Linked DNA regions of Mytilus edulis. The protein of the gene in region 1 purifies or fractionates together with the protein of each later gene. This does not show direct contact. Links are inferred from orthologs where the notes say so. Each region holds a gene or a part of one and is shown on either strand. Other genes may lie near its edges.

Region 1 (11,322 bases):
AGATGCCTAAAACCAATATATTTTCAGAATCAGTGTGAAACAACATATCATATGAAATTTTTCACTGATATTTGGAAAACCAATAGAAGCAAATGATCTCCCTTTACTTATTACATCTTAGTATGTAGTCAATGGTACAGAAATGTAGTAACCATATATTTTTTTTAATAATTGTAATAATTTTAAGCTTTCATTTCAGAGGTATTTTTTACACCAGAAGTTGCCTTCAAACAAAACACTACAAAATGTATTACATTCTTTACAGTTTACACCAGTAAATAGTTATCAAAGGTACCAGGATTACAATTTAATATGCCAGAAGTGTGTTTCGTCTACATAAGACTCACCAGTGACGCTCAGATCTAAATATTTATAAAGCCAAACAAGTACATATACAAAGTTGAAGAGCATTGAGGACCAAAAATTCCAAAAAGATGTGCCAAATACGGATAAGGTTATCTATTCCTGGGATTATAATTGATATTCATGTCAACACCTAAGTGTTGAATAAAATGTTGAACTCTGTAAAATACAGGAAAATGGAAAAAAAAATAAAAATGTATTCATAATTTTGCTTTAGATACTGTTTTTTATATAACATAAAAAAAGATTTGTCCAAGTTGCATACCATTCCATGATGGTTTGACTTAGTAATTGTTGTATAAATAACACTTAAACCAAGATTGAATCTAAATATTGACATGTGCGATGACACTTGTAAAATGTATAGGATCACTATGTCTAGCCTCTGCAACAAAATGTTGAAAGCTAGACAAAAATGATTGTAATTCTTACCAAGTAATTTGTTGTAATGAATATCAATAGGTAATGCCTGTACTGTCTGTTGTGAATTTGATGCCATGTTGAATTGGTTTAGTTATCTAAAAGAAACAAGAAAAATGTGTTGTCACTAATATCACATATCACTCTTAATGTTGTTCTAGTACCAATGGTTTATAAAAGCCTTTAATCTTTTATCATGGTGAACTGTGGTCAAGGGCTCACACAACTTTAGAATCATAGCGAAAAGTGTTCTCTCTTTTTGAAAGAGGGACGAAAGATACCAGAGGGTCAGAGTCAAACTCATAGATAGAAAATATACTGACAACGCCATGGCTAATAATAAATAGACAAAACAGACTGTGTTCAGCCCGTTGTCCTGTTTTGTGTGGAATTGATCATTGGTGCATTCATACCTGCCAACCCTCCCGTTTTGAACAGGAGACTCCCACTTAAATGCTGAAATTCAGGAAATCTCACGCTTGCCGGTACCCTCCCGGGCGGGATTACAAAATCTCCCGCTTTGGGATATTTTAACCTTGAATGACAAGTCAACATTAAGTACGTTTTTGTGTCCATTTTTTGTATTTAACTTAAAACCGACCTGCAAGGGCTGTATAGCCAGTCAAGGTCGTTAAAAACTTCCATTTGTTGATAAACTTAATGAAAATGTGCATACACAACCTGCACCATGTAACCATTATGGTTGAACACATGGAATACAAATACAATAAAGTTGTCCTGATGGGATGCAAATGACAAAGATGATGAGAAAGAATAAACAACCAACACATTCTGTACAGGTTATAAGTATATTTAAAGAAATAAAGTATATTCAATAACTCTTATATATGATTGTGTTTTGTAGATGAATAGATAAACAGGTCATATATTTCACTTGAAAATGTTGTTCGCGCATAATCTCCCCCTAAGCTGTCATGGCTGAGGGGAAGATGTTTCATAGGTTGGCAGGTATGTGCATTCAGTAAGGCCATGTTTTTTTATTTTGTTGGTTTACGGATCCGCTGACCCGATTTTGCCGATTTTCAGAATAAAAATAAAATTGACTTTTCATGCCGCCGACCCTAACAAATGCATTATCCCTGAAAAATAATCAGAGAGCTGTGGTGTAGTAGTTAGTACATCGGACTACTAACACAAAGGTTCCTGGTTCGATTCCCGTCTGGGATGAAAATTTCAGGAACTGAATTTTCGGCTCTCCCTTGACACCATTTGCGAGTATAGTCTCGAGGAAACGATGATAGTCCGTCGGAAGGGGACGATAAATGGCTGACCTGTGTTAAGAGAGAGCCATATCTCTTGCACGTTAAAGACACCCTTGTAGATTTCGAAAAAGAGCAGGCTAATGCCACTACAAGGCAGCACTCGCACCCGCAAAGTGGAAAGGGATTAATATAAGTTGCAAAACTTGTTTCCCAATCCACTATAAATAAATATGTTTAAACTTACTGACCTTGAAATGTCGTTTGCGCAAATAATTTTGCGGAACGAAACCGGAGTTTAAAACCAATTACAAAAATAAGTTTGTTTCCCTTATTTGTCATCAGTCCGTAAGATGCAGCATCTCATAGGAATAGACTTGTCCAAATTATGTGATATCATGTTAAAATACTGAATATTAACAAATCATTTGAAATTTTCTTGTTTCATAGATAAAAAAAAATATTGGCCATTTGGTTAAAAAAACAGGAATGCATGACAACAGATTAACCCAATATTCTCGTTTTCCAGTGGACGAGTCTATTACATTTTTTGACACGTGTGTTGAAACTTATTTTCGTACGACGTTTTTACATTTTTTTTTATCAGTTTTCGTGCTTGAAGATCATTATTCACCAAGTTTTCTGGAATTGATTAAGAGCTACACCATGTACACGAATCTGTTTTTCTTGTTTGTGTTATGTGGCTCATTGTGTTTCATGCTGTCTTGAAATAAAATCTGATAAATCCATTGCTGAACCTGATTAGTGCAGAAAGGCAGAAAACACCTGATGAGTCCCTTACCATTCTACACCGGGGGTCTCATTTGGGGGGTTCCGATCCCAGATCCCGCTTAACATTTTGTCAGATTACCATATCCCGCTTACACATTTTTACACTATGTACGTAAGCAGTTCTCATTTTTTTGTCATTTCCCGGGTCCCGCTAGACCTCATTTCCTGCTTTCCCAACACAATAATTTGACTTTCACGTGTCACGCTTACAAAAAATCGGCAATACCGTGTCACGCTTAGACCCCAATAAGACCCACTACACCGTGAATACTACTAATAATATATTTCATTCAATAAAATATCAAGCATATGAGTTTTACAATACACAATATGTAAACTCCTGTAGTTGGTGATCGCAATACTGGTATACCAGTATTGTGTACAATACTGGTATAAAAATTTTGTACCAGTATTGTAACTTTTTTTCAAAAAACAACAATACTGGTACATTACTGATATACCAGTATTGTAGTTGTATTGTCTGATTGTTGACTATACTTTAAGGTTACATATAGGTGAATAATGAAAAAAATAATTTTAAGCAAAATTAGATATTGAAGATCAAAGGGAAATTAAATGAACTCCAAAAGATTATAGAGGATAATTGTGAAATCAATATTCATATTTAACAACCAGTTAAAAAAAAATAACAATGTATTATACTTGTACAAATAAACAAAAGAATATTGTAATTAACTCATGCATGTACTACATACATTTATAAAACATAAACAATTGTTAATCATGTATAATAATTGCTAAACATTTAATCATATTTCTATATCTTATTTAATTTATCTGAGTTATTATTTAACAAAATTTTAATGTTGAAAAAAAATTCAAGCAAATTATTACACTCTAACACTTTCTGACTGTAAATTTATCATTTACATGTATGTTAGTATATATTTGTTTAGGGGCCAGCTGAAGGACGCCTCCGGGTGTGGGAATTTCTCGCTACATTGAAGACCTGTTGGTGACCTTCTGCTGTTGTTTTTTTCAATGGTCGGATTGTTGTCTCTTTGGCACATTCCCCATTTCCATTCTCAATTTAATATCATATTTTTTTTACAGATATTTTAATATATATGTCATGTATGTTTACTAGTCTAAATACTATTTTATATGTATTTGTTGGTCTTTAGTTTCTTAATAATCACAAAAAAAGATATCAATATCCATTAAACATAAAAAGTTGCTTAATAGCGGTACCTGATTTTTATCAAATTAACTAGTTTGTCTACATGAATGTTAAGGGTAGTTAAAGTAGTTGATTCATAACCATGGGCAATACAATTCGTAGCAGATATATCTACTGGTACAAATACTAATACTAGACAAGCACACCGACAGTAAGGAACTGTACAGGTGCTATCTGAAAAAGCTTGTATTAAATCTAGTATTAGCGTAAGAGAAAGTCCACTGAAACTGAATACTAAATATCAATATCCGAAGTGTGTGTATAACAGCAATGTTAATATAGAATTTACTAGAATATACAATGAGTCTTGGAAAGAGAAAGCTGAAAGAAAACATAGATAGAAGAAAGTAAACAGTTTGTTAAAGTGCTGCGACAGTACATATAGGGTTCCCTGAAGTAAAAAACATTAGAAAGATTTAAAACTTTCTTTAATGACAATCGCTGTGTACCATAAATAATGTCATCATCTGTTAAACCTACAATCATTCCCTGTAAAATTGTCATGTCATATATGTTAATTTCATTATGCATATGTATGTGACACCTTTAATAAAAAAATTGATATTAATTACCTGTAGGTATAGGTATTGTTTATTTAAAAAAAACACAATACTGGTACAATACTGGAATACAATACTGGTACAAAATTTTTATACCAGTATTGTGCACAATACTGGTATACCAGTATTGCGATCACCAACTACAGGAGATCCCAACATAAAGACAAATAATACTAACACATATATTATTTTGTAAAATATAATGACATTTTATGAGTGTACATGTATAAGTTAATTCACTATCAGGGAAAAAAATGCTGATACTAATAATTTTTGTTCCTCTATCACAGGAAACAAGTTCCTCGTATTATTTTCAGTATACTAAAATGTGGACAATAAATGTATGTGTCGGATAGAAGCTCATAAACACAGGGAAAAAATCAGAAGAGGTGTATAATTAACTACCAGATGTTTACCTGTCAAGCACACACGTTGGCTTGTTTAGACGGAATTGCCCGATATAAACTGTACAATTTTAGTACCTCAGTCCCGACAGTAACAGTCTGTTTTATTGGTTAATATTTCGCAATAAAATTATATTTATGAAAAATTATAGATTAAACAAAGCAACTATTTAAATAACAAATTTAAAAAAAATAAATGAAATTGGAACTAACCACATAGATTTTGAAAAGAAGTGACCATTTAAAAATATAATTGTAAGACATAATTTAGCAAGCTACTTTCATTTTCGTTTTCGTATTGGTGTCACATGATTTCAAGATGCCCGCCGAATTTTCGTCTTGATTATCCAAATAGATAAAAGATATCCTTCAGATACAATAACAAATTTTATAGAAGGACATGTCTACCTTGGTGAGGGCATTACTTCTCTATTCTGTACTTTTAATCGACAAAGCTTATACAACGTTGCAGACTATCGATCTAAACGGACAATGGGTTATAGCTGATGAAAGTAGACGGGATGACAGTTCACCAGGAAAAGGTACTTTTAATATAGTCTTTGAAATGTGGAACAAAAACATGATCAAATTTAAGAGTTAAATATTAATGTCTGAAACCTCAAAATTGGCTCCATATATTGGCATCGGGCGAATTACATTGCAATGTTATGCATTATATTACAATTATATTACAATGTTGTGCATTATATTACAATTACATTGCAATGTAGTGCATTATATCACAATTAATTTGACAAAACCATGCATTGAATTACAATAACATGCATCAAAATAATGCATTATATTACAATTACTTTTGCAAAGTTATGCATTGAATTACACATTATATTGTAAATCTTATTATCGTCGTGTCATATCGACTCATATGTTTTTTTCGTATGTCATATGTTTTCCTATAAACCACATTTCGTCAGTTTCGAGTGCACAAACATAACATTGTGGCATGTTTTTCTTCTATATGTAGAACAACAACATGAACAACAACACTACAATGTGACACATGTATGCAAGATTCAAAGTTGCATACCTGCCAACTTTTGAAAGTGCCCATGGGGGTTTTAGTGCGCGACAACAATTTCAAAGGTTAAGTTCTTTGCGACGTATTTTGCGCGTGCTGTTTTGTGGTCTAGAAAAGGTGTCATATTTGTATGATGAGCTTACAAGCCTTTTTCTTAAGGATATTTGCATGATTCTAGTTATTATATCAATAGAAAAGATGAATATGTAGCTATAAGACCAGGATTTATTTTCATGTGTAAAGATATTAAATGATTGTTGGCTTTTCCAATTCAAAATTATGCACAAAGAAGGACCTTTATAAAGTTGGGAATAACACCTAGGGGTGACATGCTAGGGGTAACCCCTCAATGTAAGGCCATTAAAACCCACTTTTTAACAAATGAGCACATATTCATACTATCTGAAGAAATTTTCCCAAAGAACTACAAATGTATACATCTTATGATCTATCTGGTATTATATGGTCAACACATGTGCAATAATTTTGAAATGTTCTGAGACCTAAAAAAAATTGGAATCCTAATCCTCATTTAGAAAAGTTTTTCCAAATATAATGAATTTTCCCATTTTCAATTAAAAATAAAATTCTAATTTATTTTTTATTATAGTCAAATGACCCTTGTCTTAGGAACAGTCCCCCATTTACCTGTTTGTTTGGTCCTTGTATAAAATAAAGAATAGTACATTGTACTTTAATGATTTGGTAATGTAATTGAATTGTAATGTCAATAAATTAGTGAATAAACTACTATTTATTATCTTTATGGTAGTACTGCATCATTGAATTTTGTCAATCAGCCATGCTTTTATTCTTAATCTGTGTAAGAATCTCATTGAAGGTGAAAAATCACCCATGTTCAAGATTTTAAAATTCTACAACACAAGTTGAAAATCTAGCATGTTAGAATAATCTTGATCATGTTGATAGGAAACGTTTTTGATTGGCTCATTAATTTGATCACAAGAAACACTGAATTTGATCGGCTAACACGATTGTCTCCCTTGAACACAGTTCAAAATCGGGAACAATGAAATTTTTCGTGTAAATTTTCACAAAATCGTGTTTTATAGCTTTTTTCACGATCACGATCGTGCAATCGTGACAAAGGATCAAAATCGTGTAGTACACGCCTAAATCGTGAAAGTTGGCAGGTATGAAGTTGCTTTTAAGGATGTAAGAAGTAATTAAATTAAAATTACTTGGTCAGCCATTTTTATTAAATGTCAAAATACACATCACTAGAATAGTTGTGAAAAATGCTGAGTGGTTACAAGAAGTATACCCATATTTTCTACCTGTCAGACAAAGGATCTTCAAAACGTGACTGTCATGTGTTTTTTTGGCAATAATTATTACAAACAAGCGAGTTGAAATTATCTTGGTTCTTATATAAATTGTTTGCTCAAGATCCTTTTATTTTTCTAAAACTTACACCTGAAAGTCAAATTCTTGAGAGTGAAAAAAGGAAAAAATGTCTGGCAGGACACTAGAAATTGTATGCGCTATTATGGCAACCATAAGCGGGATACATGATTCAGACAAAACAATTATTGGAATCAAGGATCAGACCCCTGATTTTAATTAGGTCTTTCCACAGAAAAGTGGAAAGACCTATTGTATTTGTTCTGATTATTATCTTCTGCCTTATTTTGTTCTTGCGATTAACATTTGTTTCGCAATATGTTGCTTAGATATTTTTCATATTGTATTGCATAGTTCATGCCCTTTAAAATTTCACCCTGCTAAGACAAACAATTTTTTTTGTAAGAGTTATCTCCCCAAACACTGTTTTCCTTGTGACTACATCTCCTCTGTAACCATTAAAAAAAAAGCAACAAATTTATTTTATGAAATTGCTCATTATATACTTCACATGATTTATTCTTGACCGAAGCCATATGAACACTCCATATGAGAGTTATTTCCCCTTATGCTTGAGATATAAGTGATATGTATTCCTTTCTTGTAAACTATAAGTGATAGAGACCTAGGATCTTTTGATTTGAGGTTCTTGATCCAAAAAAAGAAAATAAGGTCAAGGTTGAGTCCTCAATTTTTCCTTTACTTGTCTTTGCATTTTCTCCAATTCTTTTGAAGATGGTATAAAAGAACAAGTGCAAAATGTTTGCTTGATTGTAAGGCCATTTGACCTTTTAAAAACGGTTGGGTGACATACATGTATGACCTTGAAAAATTACTACCGGAAGTGACATTAAGAAGACTGGAAGTAACAATTTTTGCACTTTTTTCAAGAAAAAGTACCCAGAATTCATATATTTTGTAATTTAAATACATTGACTGATCATTAAAGACTAGAATTGACCTTTGGTCAACCGGAAGTGGCCAATTCTCTCCTGGTTTACAGGCAAATGTATATAGAAACTATATATTTTGGAATCAGAGTGAAAGAAGCTATCATATGAGACCGGAAGTAACATTTACTGCACAGGAAGTAGTACACTATCTCCTTTATTTCTCTCTAAGTATATAGAAAACACTTAATAATCGCATCAGTATAAAGAAATTTATGATTTGATGCAAATTTAAACTTTGAGTAAACAATAACTAGCTGCTTCTCAACAACTATGAAAATTGATGTGGAAAGACATTCAATTGTTCAGACAACAATTGGTTTTTAATTAAGAATAGTGTTTTTTATGTATATATAATTATATACATGTTGTAGTTGACTCTTGTAATTTAAAGTGAGCCAAACCCAAGGATTATTTCAAGATACCCTTAGTTCAGCTCAAACCAATACCAGAAGTTTGACAGACCAAGGGTCACAACTCTTGTTTATCTTGGTGAGACTCAAATAAATAAAATGTGATAACCTACAATTTTGTTTCTATAAAACAAATAATCTTTCAACAGTTCTTGGTACAGTACCAGGGAATATCTATACTTCACTCATAAACAATAACCAAATAGATGACCCATACTACAGAGACAACGATGACAGATATAGATGGATTGCCAAAGATAACTGGTCTTATACCAAAAGTTTTCAAGGTAAGTAGCTAATTCTGCCTTTGTTTTTTTCTTCTTCAAAATATACAAAAAGAACAGAACAAATACAAAAACATCTGTTATCCAGTTGAATTATACCATGTATACAAAGCAAATGAAACTATTTATTAGAAAAGGAAAAAGGGGCCAAGTTGGTACATCATACTACATTATAAGTTATATGGTTCGCTACTGACCCCATACGGATCCATAGAGGGTTAGTAAAATCCATAGGGGGTGAGGCCAGAGGCCGAGTCCCCTATGGATTTTATTCACCCTCTATGGATCCGTAGGGGGTCAGTAGTTTTAACCGTATAATGAATTTATCGGATGCTAGACTTTTTCTGCGTCGTTTTGTTGAAAAATAAACAATGAAACAACATTAATAGATGACGTCGCCATTAACGTGTCATGAACCCCATATGAAACTTACTAACCCCATACGGTCTCATAGGGGATCACCACGTGATGGCGTTTAACCAATCACAACGTGATAATTCATATGTGGTCCGATAAGTATATTTGAATTATTTACATCTGTTTCTTTGGCTTTTATTTAGTTTTAAAGGTTTGTGTAGGTGCATAATTAAGTTATTAAGTATAGGTTTTCCATATTATATATATATAATCACCTTTATACTCAAATTAAAGTATACTGTGAATTCATTTATTTTCATGGGTATTAATTTTCGTAGATTGCTGTAAACTTGCATATTTGTAGATATTTGATTACGTGGCTTTGCTAATCTCTGTATACAAAACCCTTTTGAAAATATGTTAATTGTTGAACAGTTGAATTTGTGGTTTAACTGTACCCATGAAATTCTTGAAAATTGGTATTCAACGAATTATAATGAATCCACAGTATATGGACTTTCATCATGTTCAAGATATTTTGAAATTAAATAGAAAAAAATCTCAAAACCGTAGATCTTTTTTTGTGTGTATTATCTACGGTCAAGAAGGTAATAAGATTTCAACCTTGTTATCACTATTAAAATATCTTTGTAGCGTTTGTTAAACAATTGTAAAAACTACCCCTGACAACCAGTTGTCAATCATACAATAGTTTTAAGTTGAAAAGGCCTTATAGTACATTAAATGATACTTTGTAGTGTTTTAAAATACAACTGTCATGTAAGGATTGTAATTATGCCATGTAGATAAATTTCCTGGTTTTCAACTTGATTGACAGCATTTCATCTCTTCAATGGATTTCATTTTCACGAATGAAAAATTAGGTGCTGTAATGGGGAGATGATTTTGACAAAGTAGAATCCTGACTATCAAAAACAGCAACTGAGACCTGATTTTTGTGTGTCTAATATACATGTATACATGTGGTAGGTTTAACTGCTTCATGGCCTTCACCATTTAAATTTCAGTGGTAGACAACCCTTATTGAAATATGAGCCTTGTGGTACTACTACTATGGCTATGTTGTTTCGATATTACTTGAAAATTCTTGAATCATTTATCACAATTAACTTGCAAATATAAGTTGTGTGGCAATTTCCCCAGAATCTTTTGTTACAACAATTCTCTTCAAGACACCTTATTGCTATTTATTCCAATCTGGATAAGTTCTATAATTACACAACTTTTTCAAACCAGTTGAAGCTATATATAGCCCTGTTCAAACAATGTATTGTGCATAAAACTTTTCAGAGAGACATTTTTAAACCTTCGTCAATACATCAAACAAAGTATATTTAATTAATCTAATTTGTCTTTTAAAAATTGCTTCATCCAAACTTTTTCTCCCTGAGCTCATTGCTGATGACCTTTGTTTTTGCAATGCTTGACCTTAACAGGAAGTTGTCTAAGAAACTGTTTTTCCTGGATTTGACTGAATTCAGGTAGTGGATAAGGTGTGAATAACTGTGTTCTGATATCATTTGGTAATATTATCAGACTAAATTGTATATTGTTAGTCACATCATTTGTTAATTTAAAATACTCTACATTTATTTAAAATCTCTTGAAGGTGAAAAGTTTCATTGATAAACTCTCGGATCAAATGTATTACATCCATTTCATTTGGAGATCTGAACGATAGTTGTCTCATCATACCACATCTCCTTATATTTTATAATTTCTAATTGCACAGATAAAATAATAAGGAAAAAAAGGATAAAAACTACACCACTTTACTTTTATAAAAGCATTTTTTTTCATTTCAGTGACGTCTTCCATGTTTTCATCGCAGTCACTGGTACTGGTTTGTGAAGGCCTGGATACAGTATCCCATGTTTTTATCAATGGAATCACAGTGGGAACATCAGATAACATGTTTGTTAGATATGTGTTT
Region 2 (10,688 bases), on another chromosome or scaffold:
ATTTATTAGTTATTTGATTACATATTTTTTTAATTTCTGAGCAAAGAGCAAACTTTTAACATGTTTAATGAGAATTACACTTTAATTTTTAAGAATCTTTGGTGAATAGTGTGCAGAAAAATCACTTTTACAAGACAGATCGGCTTTCTCATTACATTGTAAAGATGTTACAATTATTTTAATAAAGAATCATGTTGAATTTTGTTATAGATAAGCTACATCAGAAACTAGTCAGGAGTGTAACAAATGTTACACTCCTGACCATAATTTATTGCTACCATATTTTAACCTGAAACTGACCTGAAATCATGTAGAGTCTTTATATTTCACATATTATTTTAGTGCAAATTAAGAACAGGTTAAAAAAAAATTAATACTTCTTACATATTTACAAATTTTGCTAATTGTCTATTTAAAAAAAAGATGGCTTTCCTTTAAACCTTGTTCAGTCTCTTGTTTGATACTATATATATGCTGTTTTTATGTCAGATAATGTATTATGATAAGTTTGTTCGTACTACCAAAGATGGTAGCAGTATGTGCTCTGTATATTAAAAATTGTCCACAAATGTACCCAAAAATGTCAGGAGTGTAACGCTTTAAAATGTTTAAGTGTAACATTCATGTCATTTTTTATAGAAACAATGTTGTTATTATTGGTTTTCTTTTCTGGAATTTGAGTGTGAACACCATCTGCTGCATATTTTCAGTAACAAACATGCCATTATTATGGCCTTTATTGCTTGTTTATGCTCAATACTTGTATGTCAGGACTGTAACACATTTAAACAAGCTAGTTCAAAAATTTCAAAAGTAATGATGTAGACTTGTATTCTGTCTTAAGCTGAGGTGTAGTAATGTCATTTTATAACAATTTTCAGCTTGTTTTTCTTCCAATAACTTACCTTTGCTAATAAGATTGAAATAAGGCATTTTTTTGTGTTACACTCCTGACATTGAAGTATTGAGCATACAAAAGCAATGAAGGCCATAATAATGGCATGTTTGTTACTGATAAACTGTAACAGGTAATGTTCACTGAAATTCAAGAAAAAACAACAACTATAACAACATTTTTTCTAAAAAAAATACATCTTAACCCAGTTGTTACACTCCTGACAGACCTGGGTAGTCCTCTTATTGTAACCATAATATTCCAGTAGTAGAACTTCAGGGTCAACTGGATGCACCTGTGCCAAGCTATGATACTAAACAAAAAAAAATAAACCGTGCAAGATGTACAGAAACATGTTATTTCACCTACAAAGACATTTTCTGGCAGCATATTGACTTTTACTAACAAATTATTTTTTTTACACAAACTTATTTGACTTACCTTATGAGGCTCATAAAAATGTAAATATATGGAAGAATTGAATAAGAAATCATAGTCAAGATATAATAGTTGGATGAAAGATATTGTTTGGTATTGTATCTTCCCTTATTTATTCTATATCATCAAGGAATGCACATGCTTTCTTCTAGATGTCACACTAAAAGCGTTACACTCCTGACATTTTGAGGTACAATTTTGGACAATATTTTTTAAACAGAGCACATACTGCTATTATCTTTGGTAGTTAGGACCAACCAATCATAATACATTATCTGACCTAAAAACATTACAGATATAGTATCATACAAGAGACTGACAAAGGTTTAAAGGAAAGGCATCATTTTTTTTGAAATAGCCCATAACAGGAATGGACAGGATGGGAACAACCCCTTTAGATGATGACTGATAGAATGATTTTAATTTTGTTCTTAAACCACTTCTTAGTACAGAAAACATGGACATTGACATAATGGCACATATTTATATTATTTACAAAAACTTTTACCAAAAAACAATATGCTTTGTACAATGTTGTATATATATCTGATTTTGTAGGTACATGTATATTGACAAAACAAATCCATGAATTTTGGATAATTCATTGACTTCAATCTTCTTTATCAATGTTTCAATACTGAATATAAGAAGACCCCTCTTCCAGCATGACTAGATTTAGAAAAGTCCCCTTTTATGTAAAAAAAAAAAATTTGTTGTCTTTACTCCATCAGCAAAAAAAACAAACTTGTCTTATTGGAGCAAGGGATATATGTATCACTCATTTGGGTGATTGTTCTAAAACTGATGTGTTAAACAGTGAAATTCTAAAACTACTCTATTGAGGGTCACCTAATTTTTAAGTGTCTTCCTTGGGTACCATTTATGTTTTTATAAAATCAAATATAGATGTGAAACTACCAGTAACTAATTAATTTATTAGCATTTTTAGTTAAGTTAAAACTATGTAATATGTCATCCGACGTGTGATGTATTTTCATACTAATAACAAGTTTCACTGCTGACAGTTTTCACTGTTGGATTTTTAATCAGGTGCTTACTCAAATTTTAAAAACATGTTCTGTCGAATGTTATTAGGTTTCTAGATTTTAAGTCAAGGCTTCCTACAATTTTTTATTGTTTCCGATTAATTTGTGATTTTTGTATGTAAAAAAAAATAGTGTCATATGTTTTCGTACAATCTTATTAAAATAAGTTCTCATCACTTGCTCCTCGATTTTTTATATGTCGCCATGTAACATATAAAAAATCGAGGAGCAAGTGATGAGAACTTATTTTACATGTAATATAAAGATAGGTTTTCGTATGAATTAAAAATTGGATCAGTACACCGTCAGGAAATGACTTTAAAGTCTGGAAATGAGCATTTTCTAAAGTTGTGGTTCTGGTGATTGCTTGAATCATAAAAAAAGTTATTAAATACTTTTCAGTACTATAAATAACTCGTAAATAGTTTTAGGTTGGTGTTTCATGTGCTGGAAATTGTTACATTGTGATTTATTTCAGATTTGCACTGGGTTTCTACAAAGAACATTATTTTTTTTTTAAATAAAATGCAGATTTCAAAAAATGGGATTAAATGTAAGAAATTAAGACAGTTTTCATCTCTATGTATCCAGGATGAATAATAAGAATTGCCAATAGAATATTGAATAAAATGGATTTTGAACAACCATTTTATATAAGAACCATGATAATTTTAACTAGCTTGTTTGTAATAAAAATGACCAAAAATACACATCATGACATGACAGTCACATGTCTTGAAGAAATGGTGTCCCAAAGGCAGAAAATATAGCTATACTTCATGTAACCCCTCAGAATTTTTCTCACCAACTATTCTGGTGATACATATTTTTGACATTAAATAAAAATGGCTGAACAGGTATATTTAATTTAATTATTTCTTACGTCTTTAAAAGCGACTTTCAATATATCATACATTTTTCACGTTGTGGTGTTGTTGTTGTTCAAAATATAGAAACCGAAAAACATGCCACAATGTACGAGTATGCATTGGAAACCAACGAACTGTGGTTGATACGAAAATATATGACACAAAGATACAAGCACATTAAAAATTAAATCTAAATCATAGGCGGATCCAGGGGGGCTCTAGGCTCCCCTTTCATGGGAAAAATTTGGTTGATTATATAGGGAATCATTGAAACATGACTGGAGTGGCCCCCCCTTAGGTCAGTCAGAGGGCCCCCTTTAGGAAAAGTTCTGGATCCGCCACTGTAAATGTTACATTTTATCAAATTGTTATAACAAGTAACAGGGCCGTAACTACCTATGAGGCAGGGGAGGCAACTGCCTCCCCTGAATTTTCTACACCATTTTTTTTTTTAAGCATATGTTGAATTTATATTATAAACAACACAAGTTTACACTGTGTCTGTCATTTTTCTGATTTTTGATCGAAAGTGAACCGGTTTTTTTTCGTGTGGCCGTCCGTCTGTTATTCAGTATTGAAGGGGTCAGTATTTGTACGAGAACACATATGAAACTTTGCTTTCGATAATTTTGAATAATAACTTAACTATTCACATTTCTTTTGGGGCTCAATTAAGCAGAGGAAGTTCCTTTTGTATTGTGAATCTTTTAAGATATCGGAAATTCATTACCGGCTGAATCAGCTGTTGGGTCGTTTTTACTCCCGATCGTACGAGAACATAATTTATGGTCAATGCCTTAGTAGGTAAACACTCCCATTCGTTGTAGCAGGGACTTACTATACTAAGCATATACTAGACTAGTATAGAAAATCCCTGGTTGTAGTTATATACATGTCTGTTCAGCTTTCAACAATATTGAAATTCAAGATCCTCGATAAATAAAAAAATTATCTTGCGTTCTATTATCTTGCTTTATATGTTTTTTGAACTTACCAGTTTTTAAAAAAAAATATCTTTTAATACAGATAATAATTGTTTGCTTGAAAATTTCTCCAAAGATCCAGCAAAACTGATCTTTCTTAAAGTAAGGAAATCGAAAGAAAACGGGTAATTTTTAGCCATATCATTTGAGAAAAAAATCCGCGGTCACAATGTATTTAATGTTAACAATTATAGGTCAAAGTACGGCCTTCACGACGGAGCCTTGGCTCACTCTGAACAGCAATCTCAGCTTGTTTTTGCATAAGTTTGAGTTGCTTCCAGGTTCAAGCAATACTGATGTTTCTTAAAGTAAGGAAATCGAAGAGAACTGACAGGTCATTTTTAGCCAATAACTGAGGGGAAAAAAATCGGCGGGGGCTGTGCCCCCAACCCCCATATCTAACGGGGGCCTCAATCGGCGGCCCCCAAACCCTGCCTCCCCTGAATTCGAACCCTAGTTACGGCCCTGAGTAACGTCATGTATTGTGGAGTATACTATTATGAACATGAAGTGCGCATCACTTGATAATGTGTAGACACTAATGCTTCTATAAATGTACATGTATCATGTGTTGAAACTTGTAGTCTCAGGTTGACATATGGTACACTCTGTCACTCAACTTACAAATTGTACACACACGGGAATAATGAATTGTTTCAAAGATAAAAATGAATTTTGTCAAAATTGTTTAGAATTTTATTATTTCACCGGTAAAGTTATTTAAGCGTATTATGAATTCAAACACACGAATGTAACGCGGTACCCTTTTCGATTTTTTTCAAAAATGGTCAATATTGTAAAACTTACACTTTGTATGGAAGTTTTGGATCCGATGTCAGAATGATCTTGAAAGTAACTTTAGACCTACAATTAGAAAGTAAAGTTGTGTATTAACTGTGATAATAATGACTAAAATAAACAAATTTCTGGAAATAAACACACATGCTTACATTTTGACAGCTGTGACACGCAATCCCGGAAGTCGAGGTTCTTATACCGCTGACGTAAATGAAAAAAAAACTTAATAATAAAACGTTTTAATTGTTTGAATAAAATAGATCTAATTTGTCATTTAATTATAATCAGGAAACATAAAACAATTTCTATATCTATTTCTGTCTAATAGCATTGAATAAACGCTTTAATTTGAGAAGACGGTTATTTGAATGAAAACTATTTTTGTTCTAAGGGAAATCCCAGCAATGTTGTCGACACCTAGCGGAAAGGTTTATTTTATTAGCATTTAATCATGTGACTTGATAAGAAATGATCTCTTGAACAGTGGTGTGCAGAGATGGGGCTTTACTTTGTTTTAATTTTGTCAGTATTTACTTTATGCAATGTGTATGCAGAAAATTATTTAGGACCTACGGATGAATCAATTAAAAATAAAATTAGGAGGGGCGACTTAGAAGAAGGATTCTTGGGTAAGTTTTCTTTTACTAATAGTAATTTTTGTAAGAGGCGTATTTCACACTTTGTTATAATATCTGGATATCTTATTCTATTTATTAATACAGCAGCGGACTTTGTATTGTAAAATTTTTCAAACATTTATCTTTCATTAACAATTTGACAGTTTTTATGTCAATTGGATATATGTCTTTAACATATATATCTGTTTAATTAACAAAAATAATGCAACACAATTTTTTCCATATAAATTAATTGTTAAAAAAATAAGAAAAGCAAGATTATGTGAATCTGATATGCCAATTGGAAATGATGGAATTCTGTCACAAAAGAAATGAATATACTCGACGTATTATGTCTATACATGTATATATATATATATATGATATAGTTTTTTTTGCGCTGATGTGGCGTAAAGCAATCATCAATCAACCAATATATCTATGTTGAAAAAGACGAAGTATTCATTTGGAAGTTGAGGAGAAAAAAGAAATTCAATATTGGAACTGAGTTACCAAATAAACTCGGTTTCTACAAGGACCCATTTCATTTCGACACCGACCTATTTATTAGTTTAATAGTTTAATCAGTTATGTAAAATGTCCGTTGTCGATGTCCCGGACGTCCAAGATTTTATACACCAAGAAAGGAGAAGGTTCACGAAGGGTTAAAATTGGCCCTAAATTTATGATGTTTTTTTAAATCGGGCCAAAAAGTTACAAATTTCACATAGAAATACTTCTGAAAATACTACTAAGACAAAAAATATATTTTTATGACACCTTCCTTTGAAATTTATGAAGTTTTGACCCCTTGTATAAACGTTATTCGTATTTTAAAGTAAATTTTGGTATTTTTTCCCCATAATTTTGTTTGTTTTTGGCATAATTAACCTTGGCCTCCATCTACGATCCAAAAAGTTTTTATATGGATGAATTCTGTATTAAAATTGAAATCTTTTTTCCGCCAGCACTTAACGTATATATATACATGCTATCTTAATTTCAGTATAGTATTCATTTTTTTCTGAAATACTATATATATATATAATGATTTCCTAATCCAAAGATACATCACCTTTGGCAGCAATTGACAAACTCATTCTAAATTTCTTTACCTTTTTAACGTTTTTTTTTTACATTTTTATATTTTCTTATTTGAGTATCACTGATAAGCCTTTTGTAGACGAAACGTGAGTCTGGCATACAAAATGTCAAGCCTAGTATCTATGATGAGTGTATTTGCATAACCTTCTTTTCGCTACAAAAAAAAACTATATTAAAAGAGTCTGATGTTTTCCCATCGTTTCAATTGACTGTGAATGTTTGGATTAAATTAATTTAAAAGTGGTCGACGATTTACTGTAACAAGTGCTGCTGGGCACCAAAAGAGCATATCATAAACATAACAAAACAAACTGTACCATTTTGTGTCGGTAGCCGATGAAACTGAAATCGTTGTAAGATAACACTTCATAGATTATACATCAGATATTGTCAATGAATTCACTTTGCTTAGTTTAGTCTCTTTTTTTAGATACATAATCAGTTGGTGACTAAACATGCCGCTTTAAATTCTTAATTTGCTTCGTCACTTAAAATTTTACAAATTTACAAGAAAATCTAGCTTAATGGTAATATTTGGACAAAAATCACATGTTATTTCAGATAGAACGTAATTTGCACTTAAAACATTTGGATAGCAGATACAAAGTATTTCATTAGCCAATGTGAATTCTACGGACCAAAGGGAATTAACAAAGCAAGATAAAGTATTTCATTAGCAAATGTGAATTCTACGGACCCAAGGTGATTAACAAAGCAAAAGCTAACAAAAATTGTGACCAAATTTCAACTTCATAGGATATGATAGGAAAATTACAAACGTATTAACATGTACACGAATAGAAAAGGCCACACCAAATTTAAGTACTTTCAGATTGGCCCACCTCTTGATGTCAGATATTTTCAACAGTCGTGCATGCATAATAAATGCTTTCCGGTTGATTCGTAAATGTTAAGCAATTTTGCACTTAACAAGTTGAAATAAGTTGAAAATAAGTCAGATATATATAATGAAACTTCCCTCCTCCACTCCTATTATGATTAAGTCATCTTGTTATTATAAACAACTATAGTGCAAATCCTCTTATAGATATAAAACTTAGAAGATTTGATATGATTGCAAAAAGTAAAGACAAACGAATTACGGCCAAACCTATAGACAGATTACGACGGAACCCCCCCCCCCCCCCCCCATTATGACAAAATGTAGAGAGAAAAAACAACAGACTTTTTAAACCGTAATGAAGAATGAAGTAAATATACAAATTGCATTATAAATAGATATTTTCTGGTTTTAGGATAAGTTTTGTTGACAAAATAATTTTTATTTTTTTGTTGTTATCGCTCTAAACATGAATGTAATTATAAATTTCAAAATCCTTGCCACAAACAATATTCAATTTGAAGCATCTATCTTTGAAGTATGAGAAATTATTGTTTACGAGTTTTTCTTTTCATAATATGCCACACAAGCGATCTACTTGTGGTGGTTTTGGGTGTAATGCGTTATGTACAAAGGAGGGTCACATGTTATATAGTGCATTATAATATTAAAACCCATAAAGAACACCATTTCAAAAAATTGTATACAAAGAAGCATATTAATAAAGATTTTAACGCTAATTGGATCAACTCGTATTTTTCTTAAATGCGTTTCATTACATAACATACAACGTGAGGTTATCAATTTAACGAAGAAAGCCATTCTCATTTCAGTCCACCTAACTATTTAGCTTTAATGGAAGACACATAAAACAGAAATAAACACAGAACTTCTCCAAAATTGTGTAATTATGTAAACCTAAGCAAAACTGCAGTATATACACATGTGTGCGTACATGATGAACTAGCTCAATCACAATCGTAATGTCTCTTACAAGTACAGATATCGAATCCGAGATAAGCTACATGTAAAGTCAACATATGGTCACAAATCTTTGTTTACATCTATATTATCAATTTAAAATTAACACAATTATGAAACTTGACATTTGAAATAGTTTTCGCAGATGTGGAAATCGGGTGTACTACCATATATTAATATAACTTGTTTTAGCCAAATTGCTTAGTGAAAAGGATTGTTATTAATGAACTGTTAAAGTTTACAAAAGTCATAGAAAGGGCCAATTTCGAGTTAAGATGGATTTTAATATAAATGAAAATATTTAAATGTTGAAGCAGCAAATGCTGCGTACACGCCTGTCCTAATCCCTTTTTATTATTTTACCTCGTTGATCGGTTGCCCTCATACATTTTTGTAATAGAAAGCTACTTATTGTTTTATAGTACGTATACATGTATACTTTATCCATGTATGATATAGGAACTTCTGGAAACGCAGCACTTGAGACCATTTCATAATTATTGTTACAAGCTAGTGAAATGGCAAGGTGTGATAAGAATCGGTTATCTCTTCAAGTTTCACAAATTTTTCAAATATGGCGAAAAACCGATGGTACACAAACTGGTCCATTCTGTTGAAAAATAGCGGATTTTTGCTAGTTTCTGTTTTCTGTGACTTCGACCGTTTGTAGAGATGCCAATAACAAGTACTAAAAAAATCACACCCGTTTTGTAAAATTGACATATATCTTTAGACGATAAAATACGGTCAAATATTTTTTTTCTGTACCACACAATTTTTTCTATATATGTACCAGACTCGAAGTTGTCCTTGTCCTTTCCCATTGATATCAGATGAAGTGAACACCTTGTGCGGAACGATTGGAATCACCATCTGGTAGGTAGGTACCTGTCGTCGATATGCTATCTGCTATCAAAAACATGCCTTTAATTATGACATCCTTTATTCAATAGGAAAGATGAATCTTTTTGTACTTATCAATTAACAAAGGGTTCGCCCTCAGTGAACCACAATAAGTGTTAACCTGTTGGCGGTACGAATTTCTCTTATATTTATGGGTTAAACATCGCAGGGATCGATAGATCCTCGGACTTGTGAGCCTTTGAATGATATATATAACCTTTCAGTTGTTCCCACCTTAAGCTAAACAAGTATGATTTTGCGAAAAAAGGTAATGATGTATCGAATAACAGTTTATAACATTTAAAGGTGATCAAAATTTACACGGTATACATTGCAGACTGTCACCATTGAAGATTTGTATTTATCTATTGACGGAGCGAGGCCGAGTTCTCAGCAGACACCGTTAACTAAGTACGAGTATGTGTCTGTTACTGTAAAATACTGGTGTAAAAGAGGAACTTTAATAATTTTTGTACAAGCAAAAGGTGCAAAATATTCACTTAACTTCTGTTTACATGTGGTATTGAATATTTTGTTTACTCACACTATGTTTTGTTTAATGTTTCCTTTAATCTTAGCATGAAAGACAAAGTCACGAATAACTTAAAGGACTAGATATTTACAACGGTATAATACCGTGGTTCGCTCCAATTTTTATACATGTAAATAGATATTACATTTTAAATTGAATTAGGAGAGGAAATCAAATATAAATTTAAACAGTATTTGAGACATGTCGAATTACATATTTGTTGATAATGACAAAGCAAAATGAAAATCGAACTTTTATTTTGCCAAGGTAGGAGATTTCAATCAAAACAGAGATAACTTATCAAACATAATCTCATTTGTTTTACGACCTACTGACAAACTGACGAGGAACAAGATCGAACTTACATAATGTTTTACGACCTACTGACAAACTGACGAGGAACAAGATCGAACTTACATAATGTTTTACGACCTACTGACAAATTGACGAGGAACAAGATCGAACTTACATTATGTTTTACGACCTACTGACAAACTGACGAGGAACACGATTGAACTTACATAATGTTTTACGACCTACTGACAAACTGACGAGGAACAAGATCGAACTTACATAATGTTTTACGACCTACTGACAAACTGACGAGGAACACGATTGAACTTACATAATGTTTTACGACCTACTGACAAACTGACGAGGAACAAGATCGAACTTACATAA

The links.
Region 2: the proteins of CDK5 regulatory subunit-associated protein 3-like (region 1) and ubiquitin-fold modifier 1 purify together in Homo sapiens (co-immunoprecipitation; 3 studies listed by BioGRID and IntAct, with this or other methods). This does not show direct contact. The link is inferred for Mytilus edulis from reciprocal best matches to the Homo sapiens genes CDK5RAP3 and UFM1.

Annotation. Positions count from the first base shown.
Region 1 is NC_092345.1:53,559,782-53,571,103, forward strand, and holds the start of CDK5 regulatory subunit-associated protein 3-like, read right to left. Parts: upstream 5,070-11,322; 5' UTR 4,973-5,069; exon of another isoform or gene 4,962-4,972; intron 882-4,961; 5' UTR 863-881; coding exon 796-862; intron 1-795. Other genes in the region: beta-mannosidase-like, read left to right, coding at 5,361-5,502, 8,877-9,014, 11,195-11,322. UniProt on the Homo sapiens protein: Substrate adapter of E3 ligase complexes mediating ufmylation, the covalent attachment of the ubiquitin-like modifier UFM1 to substrate proteins, and which is involved in various processes, such as ribosome recycling and reticulophagy (also called ER-phagy).
Region 2 is NC_092351.1:22,721,782-22,732,469, forward strand, and holds the start of ubiquitin-fold modifier 1, read right to left. Parts: upstream 5,288-10,688; 5' UTR 5,184-5,287; coding exon 5,182-5,183; intron 5,096-5,181; coding exon 5,039-5,095; intron 1-5,038. Other genes in the region: uncharacterized protein, read left to right, coding at 5,526-5,658. UniProt on the Homo sapiens protein: Ubiquitin-like modifier which can be covalently attached via an isopeptide bond to lysine residues of substrate proteins as a monomer or a lysine-linked polymer.